Linked DNA regions of Arabidopsis thaliana. The protein of the gene in region 1 interacts with the protein of each later gene in a pairwise test. Each region holds a gene or a part of one and is shown on either strand. Other genes may lie near its edges. The genes, in order: CDKC2 and CYCT1;4.

Region 1 (6,004 bases):
TTGGAGAGGAGACTCTGGTTGTTCATCAACAGAGTGGTCATGAGCCACATGTATTGCTTGTGTATAGAGAGATTTAGAAATTAGGAACTTTTTCGTATAAATATACTCATTGTACTCAGCTACTCACTAGACTCATCTCTGTTTTAGTAATATTTTGAATACTGTATCTCAAATAAATTAATCTTATCAAATAGAAACCATAGTTGAAAAGTCATGAATGATTCTTAACTGTACAAAATAATAAGCTTTGGTAAAACCCTAAACTTTCGTTTCCAAGATGCAATTTCTAGCTTCTCTCGTTTCCAATTCCAGAAAGTTTGGTCGGAGATGGGATCGAGCTCTCTCGTTGCATCATTTCTCTTCGAATGCGACACCAGCTTCGATATCAAATCCAGCGTTCGTCGAGTTTCTCAGGGACAATGGGTTCCAGAAACCTCTAGCAATTGCCATCGCAATGCGTTACCCTAACCTCAAATCCCTAGAACAACCTCGGTCAGTGATTCAAATGCTTAAAAGTTACAGTTTTTCCGATACCCAGATCCAGAAATCGATCCGGGTCCATCCTCGAATGATGTTCTACAACGTGGAGAAAATTCTAGAACCCAAACTTCGATTCTTTAAAGATATTGGATTTACTGGCTCTGGTCTTGGTAAGTTCGTCTCTCAAAACTCATCAGTCGTTGGTGTAAGTCTAGTGAAGAAATTGATTCCTACCGTTGAGATTCTGAAATCGATTGTTGCCCCAAAACATGAAGACCTTCCTGTCATTCTTAGTAGATGTGGTTGGCTTCTTCTCAGTAGAGACCCTAACTTGTTTCTCTTACCAAACATCTCATACCTTGAAACCTGTGGAATTGTTGGGTCTCAGCTTGCTTCTTTACTTAGAAGACAGCCAAGAATCTTCAATCTCTCTGAGGAAAAACTCAGAGGATATGTCTCTCGTGCTTTGGATCTTGGTTTTACTTTGAACTCGAGGATGCTTGTGCACGCTGTTATCTCGTTAAGTTCTTTGAGCGAGAAAACGTTTGATCGAAAGGTTAAGTTGTTTATGGCTAATGGATTCTCTGAAGATGAGATAACAGATATTATACGAAGATCTCCAGGTTTGATCCGGTGCTCAGAAGATAAGCTTACACTGGGGTTTGAGTTTTACTTGAAGAGAATGGGGTTAGAGAGGGAAGCTTTGGCGAAACGTCCTTGTGTGTTGTCGTATAATCTTGAGAAGAGGGTGATTCCTAGGCTTAAAGTTTTGCAGATCTTGAGGGAAAAAGGGTTGTTGTTAAAAGAGGAGAAGAAGAAGAAGAACATGGTTGGCATTGTTGAGATGACTGAGGAAGCTTTTCTAGAGAAATATGTTGTGAGATTTGGAGATGAGATTGCTGAGGAACTGCTGGTTGCTTACAAGTGCGTGTGTTTAGTCGATGAAACGCTACTTGATCGTATCAAGATCTAATTGTAGATTTCACAAGTCCAAACTTGAAATTTTGTCATTGTATCCAAACTTCGCTCATCCGTAACTGTGTTGAACATTATAATTTGGAAGTAACTCTTAAATCACCCTTTATTACGAGCTTGAAGCTTCTCATATAATAATGGGATTCATATGAAGCGATTCTTTTTCTATTTCAGCACTTGAGCAAAAACTCAAGATTGTCAAAGCGTCTTAAAAATTTGACTCATGAATTTAACCGGTTTGATTTTGGTTCGTTGTAATAACCGGTTTAAACCAGAGATTGATTCCGGATAAAAAAGCTTAGGTTTTTCCGCGAAGCCGACACTGTAAGGTAGGGCTAAAACCTTAGAATAGCCGGAGAGAAGAAGGCGAGAAGAGGAGCGACAAGGGCGAAGCTGCAGAATTCTTCGGTAATTTTCAGATTCGGTTGAATAATGGCGGCTGCGGCTTTTGGGCAGTTAAATCTAGAGGAGCCTCCACCGATTTGGGGATCTCGTAGTGTCGATTGCTTCGAGAAGCTTGAACAGATTGGTGAAGGAACTTACGGGTATTCTTCTCCATTCTTTTTTTTTCTGGGTTTTGTTCCTTGATTCCAATTTATTTGGTTTTGTCAGAGTACTCGTGCTCAAGACTGAAATTTCTCAAATTTGAACGATTTCGCTAGGGCCACTTGATATATAAGTTTTTTTGAAACAATTTTGATTGTGAAACGTTTATATATAGTTATTGATCCATATATTGTTGATTTGAGGAATTTTAACTTTGCCTCTTATCTCAATAAATTCGATTTTGTTGATTGAATTTGGGAATTCTCAGATTCTTGGTATGGTAGATATATATATATATATATATATATATATATATATATATATGTTGCAATAAACTTCTGAAGCTGTCTCTTTTGATGGTGTTTAGATTCATATATTAAAATTTGGTTTTGCAGCCAAGTGTACATGGCTAAAGAAATTAAAACTGGTGAAATCGTGGCTCTGAAAAAGATCCGTATGGACAATGAAAGAGAAGGGGTAAGCTACATTTGAACTACCAGTACTAGCTTTGACAAGTTGCAAATTTTTGTGAGTTTCGTATGACTTATATTTCCGTTTTCATTGTTTGCATGGAGTTTCCGATAACCGCTATCCGGGAGATCAAAATTCTGAAGAAGCTGCATCATGAAAATGTCATCCATTTGAAAGAGATTGTTACTTCTCCAGGTAATAAGGAACTCTTATCTTAGCTTGTAATTGCTTTAGAAATTTTGTCAAAAGGGGTGTTAAGTTTGATATGTAGAGTTTTGTGACTGTTTTTGTCTTTAAAAGGTCGAGATAGGGATGATCAAGGAAAGCCAGGTTAGTGAAACTTATTCAAGATCGAAATATTTTCTGTACAACTTAGATGCGACTATGAGAGATCTATTTAAACTGCTTACGGCCTAAAGCTTGTTGCTTTTCTTCAATTTTAGATAATAACAAATACAAGGGTGGAATCTACATGGTCTTTGAGTACATGGATCATGACTTGACTGGACTTGCTGATCGTCCTGGACTGAGATTTACGGTTCCTCAGATAAAGGTATTGCATGGCTAGACACCTTGTTGTAGTAGCCTTTGCAAAAACCCTTATTGTTCCGACTTTGTCTGACATTTGAACATATGTAAAAAAGTGTTACATGAAGCAACTGCTGACTGGGCTTCACTATTGTCATGTGAATCAAGTGCTTCACCGTGATATAAAAGGTGAATATATCCCAAAATACATTGTTGACCATTTTGTTCTCTTGTCTTTATTTGCTAGTTAACCTATAATATATTGGTGCAGGTTCGAATCTACTTATTGACAATGAGGGAAATTTAAAGCTAGCGGATTTTGGGCTTGCTCGGTCATATTCTCATGATCATACTGGAAACCTCACAAATCGTGTCATCACTTTGTGGTATAGGTATGTATGCCTACAAACTTTGAAGTTATATACAAAAAAGTGACAAAGAATAAGTATTGCTTATACGTGCAGCTTTTTCTCTACTTATGCATTGTTTATTGCTGTAGGCCCCCTGAATTGTTACTTGGTGCAACTAAATATGGACCAGCGATTGACATGTGGTCAGTTGGATGCATATTTGCTGAACTTTTGAATGGAAAACCAATCTTGCCTGGGAAAACTGAGGTCAGGATTTCATCTTATGATTATCGTGGTGTGTGTTATTACAGTGTTCTTTGATGATGTTTCCACTTAGCGTTTTAGTCATATTTTTTTCTTTCCAGAATGAACAATTGAATAAGATTTATGAGCTTTGTGGATCACCTGATGAAAGCAACTGGCCTGGAGTTTCCAAGATGCCTTGGTATAACCAAATGAAATCATCTCGGCCCTTAAAGAGACGCGTAAGGGAGATCTACAGACAGTAAGTATAAACCATTATGTAGTTGCGACTCTTTTATGCAACAGTTACTTTGATCCAGGAGATCTCATTTGGTCCTTTTCTCTTCTGCTATAGCTTTGATCGCCATGCCCTTGAACTACTTGAGAAAATGTTGGTACTTGACCCATCTCAGGTACCAAAGAATTTTTAATACAGAGAATTAAGAGCCTTGGTCTAGACATTTAAGTCCTTTCATTTTCCTGTCTGTTGGTACAGAGAATATGCGCAAAGGATGCTCTTGATGCTGAGTACTTTTGGACTGATCCGCTGCCATGTGATCCAAAGAGGTAATCAAATTCTCTTAACTTTCTTGTTATGAAAACCCATTTGGTTCATCATACATCACAAATGACGATCAAGAACAATTAGTGAGTGATTCAGCTTGTACTGAAACTGTGTTATGTCAACAGTCTACCGACATATGAATCATCACATGAGTTCCAGACAAAGAAAAAACGGCAACAGATGCGTCATAATGAGGAAGCAGCCAAAAAACAGAAACTGCAGCATCCACAGCAGCAACATTCTCGTTTACCTCCACAGCAACACGGTGTTGGCCAGTCTCATGCCGCTCCACTTTGGCCTGCTGGACCAAACCACCCTATGAACAACAACGCACCACCACCCCAAATACCTGCTGGTGGCCATTACTATGGAGGAAAGCCCCGTGGTGGTGCACCTGTTCCAAACCGGTACCCTCCTAGCGGAAACCAGACTGGTGGTTATAATAATCAGAGCCGTGGAGGTTACAGCAGCGGAGCATATCCTCCACAAGGTCGTGGTGCACCATATGGCGCCGGTCCTAGAGGACCTAGCGGTGGCTATGGTGTTGGACCACCCAACTACTCACAAGGTGGTGGTCAGTATGGTGGATCTGGTGGCTCTGGAAGAGGTCAGAACCCTATGGGTGGTGCTAGAAACCAACAATATGGATGGCAACCGTAAAGAGAACTCAAAGAGACTCGTATGGTGTGGTCTTGGCTTGATGTCTTTAAGGCAGTTGTGATTTTAGATATGAAGACTTATCTTCGCGAAAGAGAATCTATTTTCATTTGATTTCTTGTCTTAATGGCATTCTTCCAAACATTCTGTGATTGTTGTATGTTTAAATCAAGGTTTATATATCAGAACACAGGAAACCAAATTGGATTTTTACCCAAATCTTATTATTTCTTGCAAAAAAACGTTTCACAACCTCTTATCTGTTTTCGATGAAGTGTGGAAAAACTACACGAATCAGTGTAAACCCCAAAAAGAAAACGAAAAAACTCTCCTCTGAAGCAGCTCCAGCAGTAATTGTGTCATTTCTCATTGCTTATTGTCTTATGCGGATGATTCTACTTTCAGAACAACTTTCATGAACTCGTAAACAAAGTAACTGATTGCCGCGGAAGGCAAAACCTGCAATAGTGAGATAATTCACAAAGCTGTAAAACCTGCAATAAGCTGGTTCAAGAGATTAATTTATGACTAGTATTAAGGAATCAAACCTGCAATAAGCTGGGAATCAAGCCAGCATATAGAGCAGGAACACCTCCTTGTTCAATGATCTTCACACAAGTAGCCACTGCGCTTAACCTTTTAGCATGTGACTGCATTTGTAAACGCCTTCTCACAACTTCAAACGGATATGTTGCTGCTTCTGAGCAAGCCCCTGCGATTGCTCCATATAACAAAGTTCTCATGGGACCAAGCTCGAGTTGATCGAAAGCATTAAGTTCTTCACCTTCTTGCTTCATGTGTTCAAGCCGTTTCTTACCTTCCGGTGTATGAAGGTAAGCTGATTTTAAAATATCATAGACACCGTAGAACACAGCTCCCGATGGAGCCATACTAACAAGTGAAGGTACAAGACCTTTGTATAGGGAAAAGAAACCTTCAGTTTGAATCATGTGACGGAATGCACCAACTACACCACCTAATGCTTCTCCACCGGGTGCCACCATAACCGTTCTTATCTGCAATTCAAAACCAAAGTAATGCTAAAGAACCTCCAGAGAATGGTAAAAGAAGCTCAATGAAGTTTTTGTTGTGATTCCACTTACAGTATCAAGTGGTAGACAAAGCAAACTAGCTGTTACTCCGGCAGCTGCACCAGCAACAAACCTCTCGAAATTTGTCGTTTCTTCAT
Region 2 (6,691 bases), on another chromosome or scaffold:
AATCTTCAAATCTATTTTGTAATTCGTACGATTACTTTGTTGCTTTATATACAGTAACTTGAGAAATCTAGGGCTTGTTCTTTTGACTTGGTGATTTGCATGTATGGTTTTGCCTATAATTAAGATGTTACTTACTAGTTTACACGAGATTCTTCTTTTTATGAATTGTTTTTATCCATTCTTCGATTGTTGTTTGTGAAATTGTGATTGATTATGTGTAATTATGTAGTGGCTTTGGATAGAGTAACTTCAGATTCAGAGATCTGTGGCTAAGGACTTGTTTTTCTAACTTAGTGATTTTCATTTACGGTTTTGCTTCTGTTTTTCATCCTTCTTAATCCTTTTTCTTTTGGCTCCTCCAATTGGTTTTCCATAGAGACAAGGTGCAAAATCGTTTGAAGGATTCTTTGTTCAACAAAGATATGGAATGCAACAAGGAGGAAGCTATAAGAGCAATGGATATTGCTAAGAGGAAAGTTGCAGAGAATGATTACAACGGGGCTAAGCTTTTTGCTAACAAGGCTCAGGATTTGTATCCGAAACTTGATGGTTTAAGACAAGTGATGATGTTGATCGATGTGTATATCTCAGCAGGAAATACAATTAGTGGAGGAGAATCTGATTGGTATGGAATTCTTGGTGTTGATCCTTTGGCTGATGAGGAAGTAGTGAAGAAACAGTATAAGAGGCTAGCTCTTTTGCTTCATCCTGACAAGAACAATTGTGAAGGCGCAGAGGGTGCGTTTAAGCTTGTGTTAGCTGCTTGGTGTTTGTTATCTGATAAGGTTAAGAGAATTGCTTATGATCAGAAGAGGAAGTTGAACGAAGTTAAACCGAAAAGGAGTCGAAAGCAGAAACAACCTCCAAAGAAACCACCAAATCAGCCGAAACAACAACCAAATCAGCAGAAACAACCACCAGATCAGCAGAAGCAGCCACCAAATCAGCCTAGACAGCCACCAAACCAGCAGAAGCAACCACAAAACGAGCCGAAACAACCACCAAACCAGCCTAAACAACCACCAAATCAAGCAAGTACTAATGGTAGAGCTAGAAGCAAAAAGCCCACTTCCAAAGTTTCTATCTTTTGGACAATGTGCAACAAATGCGAGACACAATATGAGTATGTGAGGGTTTATTATCTTAACAAGACCGTACTTTGCCGAAATTGCCGTGGGAATTTTAAGGCAACTGAGATAGAGAAAACACCAACTGAGAAGGAAAAAACACCAACTGAGAAAGAGGAAACACCACAAGCAACAAACAAGAACACAAATGGTGCTTCGTCTTCTTGTGATAGAGATTCTTCACTAAATGTTAATTTTGATTCTAGTTTTCGACGGGATTCTTCTTTATCAAGAATGAGTTACTTTAACAGTGGAAATGTGGCAAATCAAGCAGAAGAAAGAGGGAAAAGAGAGGTAAGGGAGTCAGAAGAAGAAGCTGGTAGAGGAATTGCAAACTCTGATTTGAAAGTAGAAGAGAGAGTTTTTAAGAAGCTGAGGACAGATAACTATGCAGAGTCAAGTAGTGAAATCAAGGTGTGAAGTAAGCTGAGGACAGATAATTAGAAGTTTAACAGTGAAGTAGGAACTATGACATTTAGAAGTTTAACAATCAATGATTTTATGATTATGATATTTGAATATTTTGCATCTAGACTAGGATCTTGTACAGTGGAACCAGGTTAGTTCTTCTTCCTGTCATCTTCAATGTTGAATCTGAAATGTCAAAGCTTTATTTTATTTTTGTTAACAATGTGTGCTTTAACAACGTGAGTCAAATTAATCAAAGTGGGTTCACTTAAATTGTTGGAAGAAATTTTACTTCCACTAACTAAATATTTCCTTCTTCGGTCCCTTCATTCTCAAAAGTTTTTACTTTTGTCCCCAAATATTTTAACGGAGAAGATTTAGTCTCCTACTTCGGGTCATCATATATCACTTGAAAATCGGGATATTCGTTAAAAATCCCCCTTTTTTTTTTTTCTTTTCTTGCTTCCTCCCTTTTTTTTTTTTTTTGTTCTTTCCTTTCTCGCGTTTCTTCTCCTAGGGTTAGGGTTCGACGAACGCAGCTGTTCCACGCGTTTAGTTTCAATTCTCCATCGAAGAAGCCATAATCCGGTGCGTAATCATCGTTTTTGTTATATGTTTCCGATTAGGTGTATTATTTTCCGTTTGTTTTCTCGGGTTTGGTAGTTTCACGAACTTTTGCATCTCTCAGATCTATTGTACGTTTTTTCCTTCGTTTGTGACGGATTTTTCTGTGAAAAGAGTTTAAATTTCCATGGAGAATTACTCGATTATCTCTAATTTAACTCTTTGGCAATCAAATTTTTCGATTTTATTGTTTTTTTCTGGATGCGTGAGCTTAGTTATGAACAAGGAGGGTCAACTCGTTTACATGATTCTCTATTCACAGTATTTTCGTGGGAAAGGAGCAATTATGTTTTTGTTTTCATGATTCATGTCTTTATGTTGCATATTTTGGCCCCTTTTACTCTCATTTAGACTATGTGGTGTTTGTTTTGATGCCATTGTTTTGATTTTCCATCAATTAGTAATTTTTTCAGTCCGAATTTCAATTCTTCGTCATTGACCTTGTTGATGATTCCTGTGCTTTCAGATTCCTAAAGAGCTTACATTTGTTACTCAACTTTAAAGTTTTGACGCTAGAGATTACTATCCTCTTGCTGGGAACTCAACGTGACCAGGTATAAATCTCAGCTCATAGATAAGCAAAGTAGTTTTTTTCTACATCTCTTAGATTTGTACCCTTTTTAGCTCACAGTATCAGTTCAATAACCAAGCTGATCCCTCTTATGAACTTACATTCATTGGTTCTGTTTTTGCTAGACTGTGTTTGAAAGATAGCAATGGCTGGAGTATTAGCTGGGGATTGTTCATTCGGTGAGAGTGGTGTTTCATCTTACTCCAGGAATTCCAATGAAAAGCAGGACGAGGTTGCCCGCTGGTATTTTGGAAGAAAAGAAATTGAAGAAAATTCACCTTCAAGGTTGGATAGTATTGACTTAAAGAAGGAAACATACCTCCGCAAGTCATACTGTACATTTTTGCAGGATTTAGGCATGAGATTAAAAGTGTAAGTATAAATTTCTGACCTATATATTTCAGCTTTATACATTGCATTTTCCATTTGATTACTTCTTGCGAGCTTGGTCTAGGACATGCTAGTTTCTCCTACCATGATAATTGCCTCTATTTTGCTTATAGTATTATAGTGAATTCTTGATCCCCTTACATTAGGTTCTGTAGGATCGAATTTTGAAATTTATAGAACTTGATATCGTAGAGGTCATTAGAGCATGAATAAGCTAGTCAGAGTTATTGCCTTATTGGCAACAAAAAGGTGAAACTTGTGGGTTCATCTTGTGTTGTATGGCCCAATAGTCCTTTAATGGCTTTCTGAAATTTAGTATATAGTGATGAACACAATACTCTGAATTTATCTTCATATTGACATGGTTTCATTTGCACTGATAGCTTTCACTTTTGGCTCTCTCAATGAACGCGGCTAATATATTTTTCTAATACAGTCCTCAGGTTACAATAGCTACCGCAATTATCTTCTGTCATCGATTCTTCATTCGCCAGTCACATGCTAGGAATGACAGAAGGGTGAGTATATATTCTTTGCACATGGCGTTGTGAATACTTATATACATGGGCCTACTGTTTGTTGTTCGAGCCAGTCTGCTGCTATCTTTGTTTGCATGTATTTGAAGCATTAAATGGCTCCTTTTCCTTGCGTCCGCTTATATTCATTGTCTCCATGTCTCTGCCAGTTTCCTTTGTATATATATAGAGAGAGCAAATCGGCTGATGCATTAGATGAATATACACTGACTTCTCGCGAATATTCCTGCCATGAATATTAAGCGTTCTCTTAGTCTATTTGGTTAATGCATCTAGTTCTTTGTCCATATTTATCCTTCTAGAAACTAGCGCAGAACAGTATTAAGATTATTACTGAGTCCTTTTTCCATGTTGTCCTCCCTCCTCACCCAGACGATTGCTACAGTCTGCATGTTCCTTGCGGGAAAAGTGGAAGAAACTCCTAGGCCGTTAAAAGATGTTATTGTTGTCTCCTATGAGATAATACACAAGAAGGATCCTACTACTGCACAGAAAATCAAGCAAAAGGTCTGAATATTCTAAACTTTCTCTAATCCGGTTTCCTGTTTAGTAATAAGCGAATTTGCACTGTTTCTCGCATATTCTATTTTACTATGACATAAGTTTTCTACTAAACCCAGGATTGCACTTGTTTGTGAACAATCCTCCTATGATCATTGTCCTTGTCGTTGGATCTCTCATCTGTGCTGGTCACCGTCTCTATTATTTCTCTTCTTTGTACTGAACGTATTTCACTTTTGCAGGAAGTATATGAGCAACAAAAAGAGCTTATACTAAATGGAGAAAAGATTGTACTTTCTACGCTGGGATTTGACTTCAATGTTTATCATCCTTATAAGCCTCTTGTAGAAGCGATAAAGAAATTTAAGGTCGCACAGAATGCTCTGGCCCAAGTTGCATGGAATTTTGTTAACGATGGGTACGTTAAAAGTCTGTTTCCTTGAAAGCTTCAGATAGATCTATCTGTCTTGTATTTTCTTCTTCATACAATGAAAAGATGCTTGCAGTCTGCGGACGTCACTCTGCCTGCAATTTAAGCCTCACCACATTGCGGCGGGAGCAATTTTTCTTGCTGCGAAGTTCCTTAAAGTGAAATTACCATCAGATGGAGAGAAGGTCTGGTGGCAAGAATTTGATGTCACACCTCGACAACTAGAGGGTGAGAGAACTATCTTTATCTTTGAATTAATTTTATGAAACTGTTTCCACTTTTTCTGTTTGACTTGTATGCCTTATTTTGCATCTGATGCTAAGAGCTACTCCCTTATGTATACTGCAGATGTTAGCAACCAAATGCTTGAGCTCTATGAGCAAAACCGTGTTCCTGCATCTCAAGTAAGCGAAGTCGAAAGTAGTGTAGGTGGAGGATCAGCTCATCATGTTGGGTCTAGGCCATCAGCACGTCTAACTCATGAACATTCAAATTCTGATAATCTCGGGGGCTCGACAAAAGCTACACAAAACCGGAGCAATGATAATGGGAGTGGTGAGGCAGGTAGTGTCATCACCGAGCAGAAGGGGGAAAGAGATACAGAAACGAAAGATAGCATGCATACTGAAAGTCATCCAGCCCATAAGTCTAGATCGGGAGTTGAGGCACCTGGGGAGGATAAAATAGAGAAAGCAGGTGCACATTTTCCAGAAGATGATAAATCTAGAATTGTTGGTACAGCTGATGTCACGGTCAGCCAATCCCCAAAAGACATAAAAATGTTTAGAGATAAGGTGAAGGCCAAACTAGAGGCGAAGAAGGTCCAAGGTGAAAAGACGAGAAAGAAGGATTTGGTGGATGAGGATGATTTGATAGAAAGAGAACTGGAAGACGTGGAATTAGCTGTTGAGGATGACAAAGATATACAAAACAAAAGCTCCATGGGTACAGAACATGGCGAGATTCTTGATGGAAACAACTTGGTGGTCAATACCGAGGAAGGTGAAATGATAGATGATGTTTCTTCAACAATGCCTAGCCGGAAGAGAAAAATGGAAAGTCCTTGTGAAAAACAGTTAGGAGAAGGAAAGAGACGACACGACAACAGTGAGAATGTGGAAGAAGGTCAGAAGACAAACCCAGGAGGAAGTAGTCATAGTTATGGTGACAGAGAGCCAAGAAGACACTCCCAAGAGAGGTAGATGATCAAAACCTTCTCATGGTCTATTAGAGACATTTCCCAACCATGATGCGAAATGAGTCCACTGTATTTACAATGTTGGTTATCTTTTCATTTTCCTTGGCACTTGTATTCAACAGTTGAGAAACTAAATCAGGTTTCCATCCATCCCATAGGATTTAGGGTCTCTATAATTTTGATCTTTGTTAGCATTCCCTTTTGTATATCGGGGGAATAAAAAAGAATTTTGACGAATTTATTTAGAGCCAAGACAATATTAGTGTTTTGTCATTCATTGCCGAAGGATGTTTTGATAATAACAATATGAAACAGAGTGGTCAATTGATTTGTCAATGTGTAGTTGTTTTTGTAAGGTTTGTTTTATGTTAAGTCCACTCGTAACCTTGTTCCCATTGTCATTATACTGCTTTTCGTATGTATCGGTTAGCTTGGTGACCAATCCGGTTAACCACAAAATCAGGCGGAATAGTTGTCAAATTAAAGAGCAAAAAAGACTCATGAAAAAGAGCTGTAGGGGTTTTCATTTTTTCAATTCGTTTTCAAAATTTTCAGGTTTAAAAATAAATACAGGTCTGAATTAATTCGCTCGGTTTGAATTTTCGGGTTTAGTCCAGTGTGATTTAGTCGGTTAAGTTGCTCAAAATTTTGGATTTGGTTCGGTTTATTCATTATCAAACACAAAAACACAAAAAAAGCCAACCTAAAGAAGGAACAACAAAAGACCTAAAAACCCTCTCGTCTTCTCTTCTTCTTCTTCTTCTTCTCCTTGCTCTCTCTTGTCGTCGGCGGCAGATTATTCAATCGTTAGGCTATCGTTCCGACACTCTACAGTCATTACAAACATTTCAATACAACAAAAACTCATCCTTTTCTTCTCTTATTAACCATAATTTCGGATTCCCT

What was found.
Region 2: the proteins of CDKC2 (region 1) and CYCT1;4 interact in a protein complementation assay, tested with the Arabidopsis thaliana proteins (one study listed by BioGRID).

Annotation. Positions count from the first base shown.
Region 1 is NC_003076.8:25,953,610-25,959,613, forward strand, and holds CDKC2 (cyclin dependent kinase group C2), read left to right. Parts: upstream 1-1,764; 5' UTR 1,765-1,887; coding exon 1,888-2,000; intron 2,001-2,396; coding exon 2,397-2,478; exon of another isoform or gene 2,479-2,540; coding exon of another isoform or gene 2,541-2,576; coding exon 2,577-2,667; intron 2,668-2,772; coding exon 2,773-2,802; intron 2,803-2,915; coding exon 2,916-3,025; intron 3,026-3,116; coding exon 3,117-3,189; intron 3,190-3,271; coding exon 3,272-3,392; intron 3,393-3,499; coding exon 3,500-3,617; intron 3,618-3,715; coding exon 3,716-3,855; intron 3,856-3,948; coding exon 3,949-4,006; intron 4,007-4,089; coding exon 4,090-4,160; intron 4,161-4,283; coding exon 4,284-4,818; 3' UTR 4,819-5,196; coding exon of another isoform or gene 5,197-5,274; 3' UTR 5,275-5,282; intron 5,283-5,357; downstream 5,358-6,004. Other genes in the region: AT5G64950 (Mitochondrial transcription termination factor family protein), read left to right, coding at 278-1,453; AT5G64970 (Mitochondrial substrate carrier family protein), read right to left, coding at 5,197-5,274, 5,364-5,831, 5,919-6,004.
Region 2 is NC_003075.7:10,670,744-10,677,434, forward strand, and holds CYCT1;4 (Cyclin family protein), read left to right. Parts: upstream 1-2,021; 5' UTR 2,022-2,123; intron 2,124-2,625; 5' UTR 2,626-2,713; intron 2,714-2,855; 5' UTR 2,856-2,875; coding exon 2,876-3,102; intron 3,103-3,556; coding exon 3,557-3,638; intron 3,639-4,028; coding exon 4,029-4,163; intron 4,164-4,399; coding exon 4,400-4,575; intron 4,576-4,663; coding exon 4,664-4,815; intron 4,816-4,935; coding exon 4,936-5,789; 3' UTR 5,790-6,186; downstream 6,187-6,691. Other genes in the region: AT4G19590 (Chaperone DnaJ-domain superfamily protein), read left to right, coding at 423-1,547.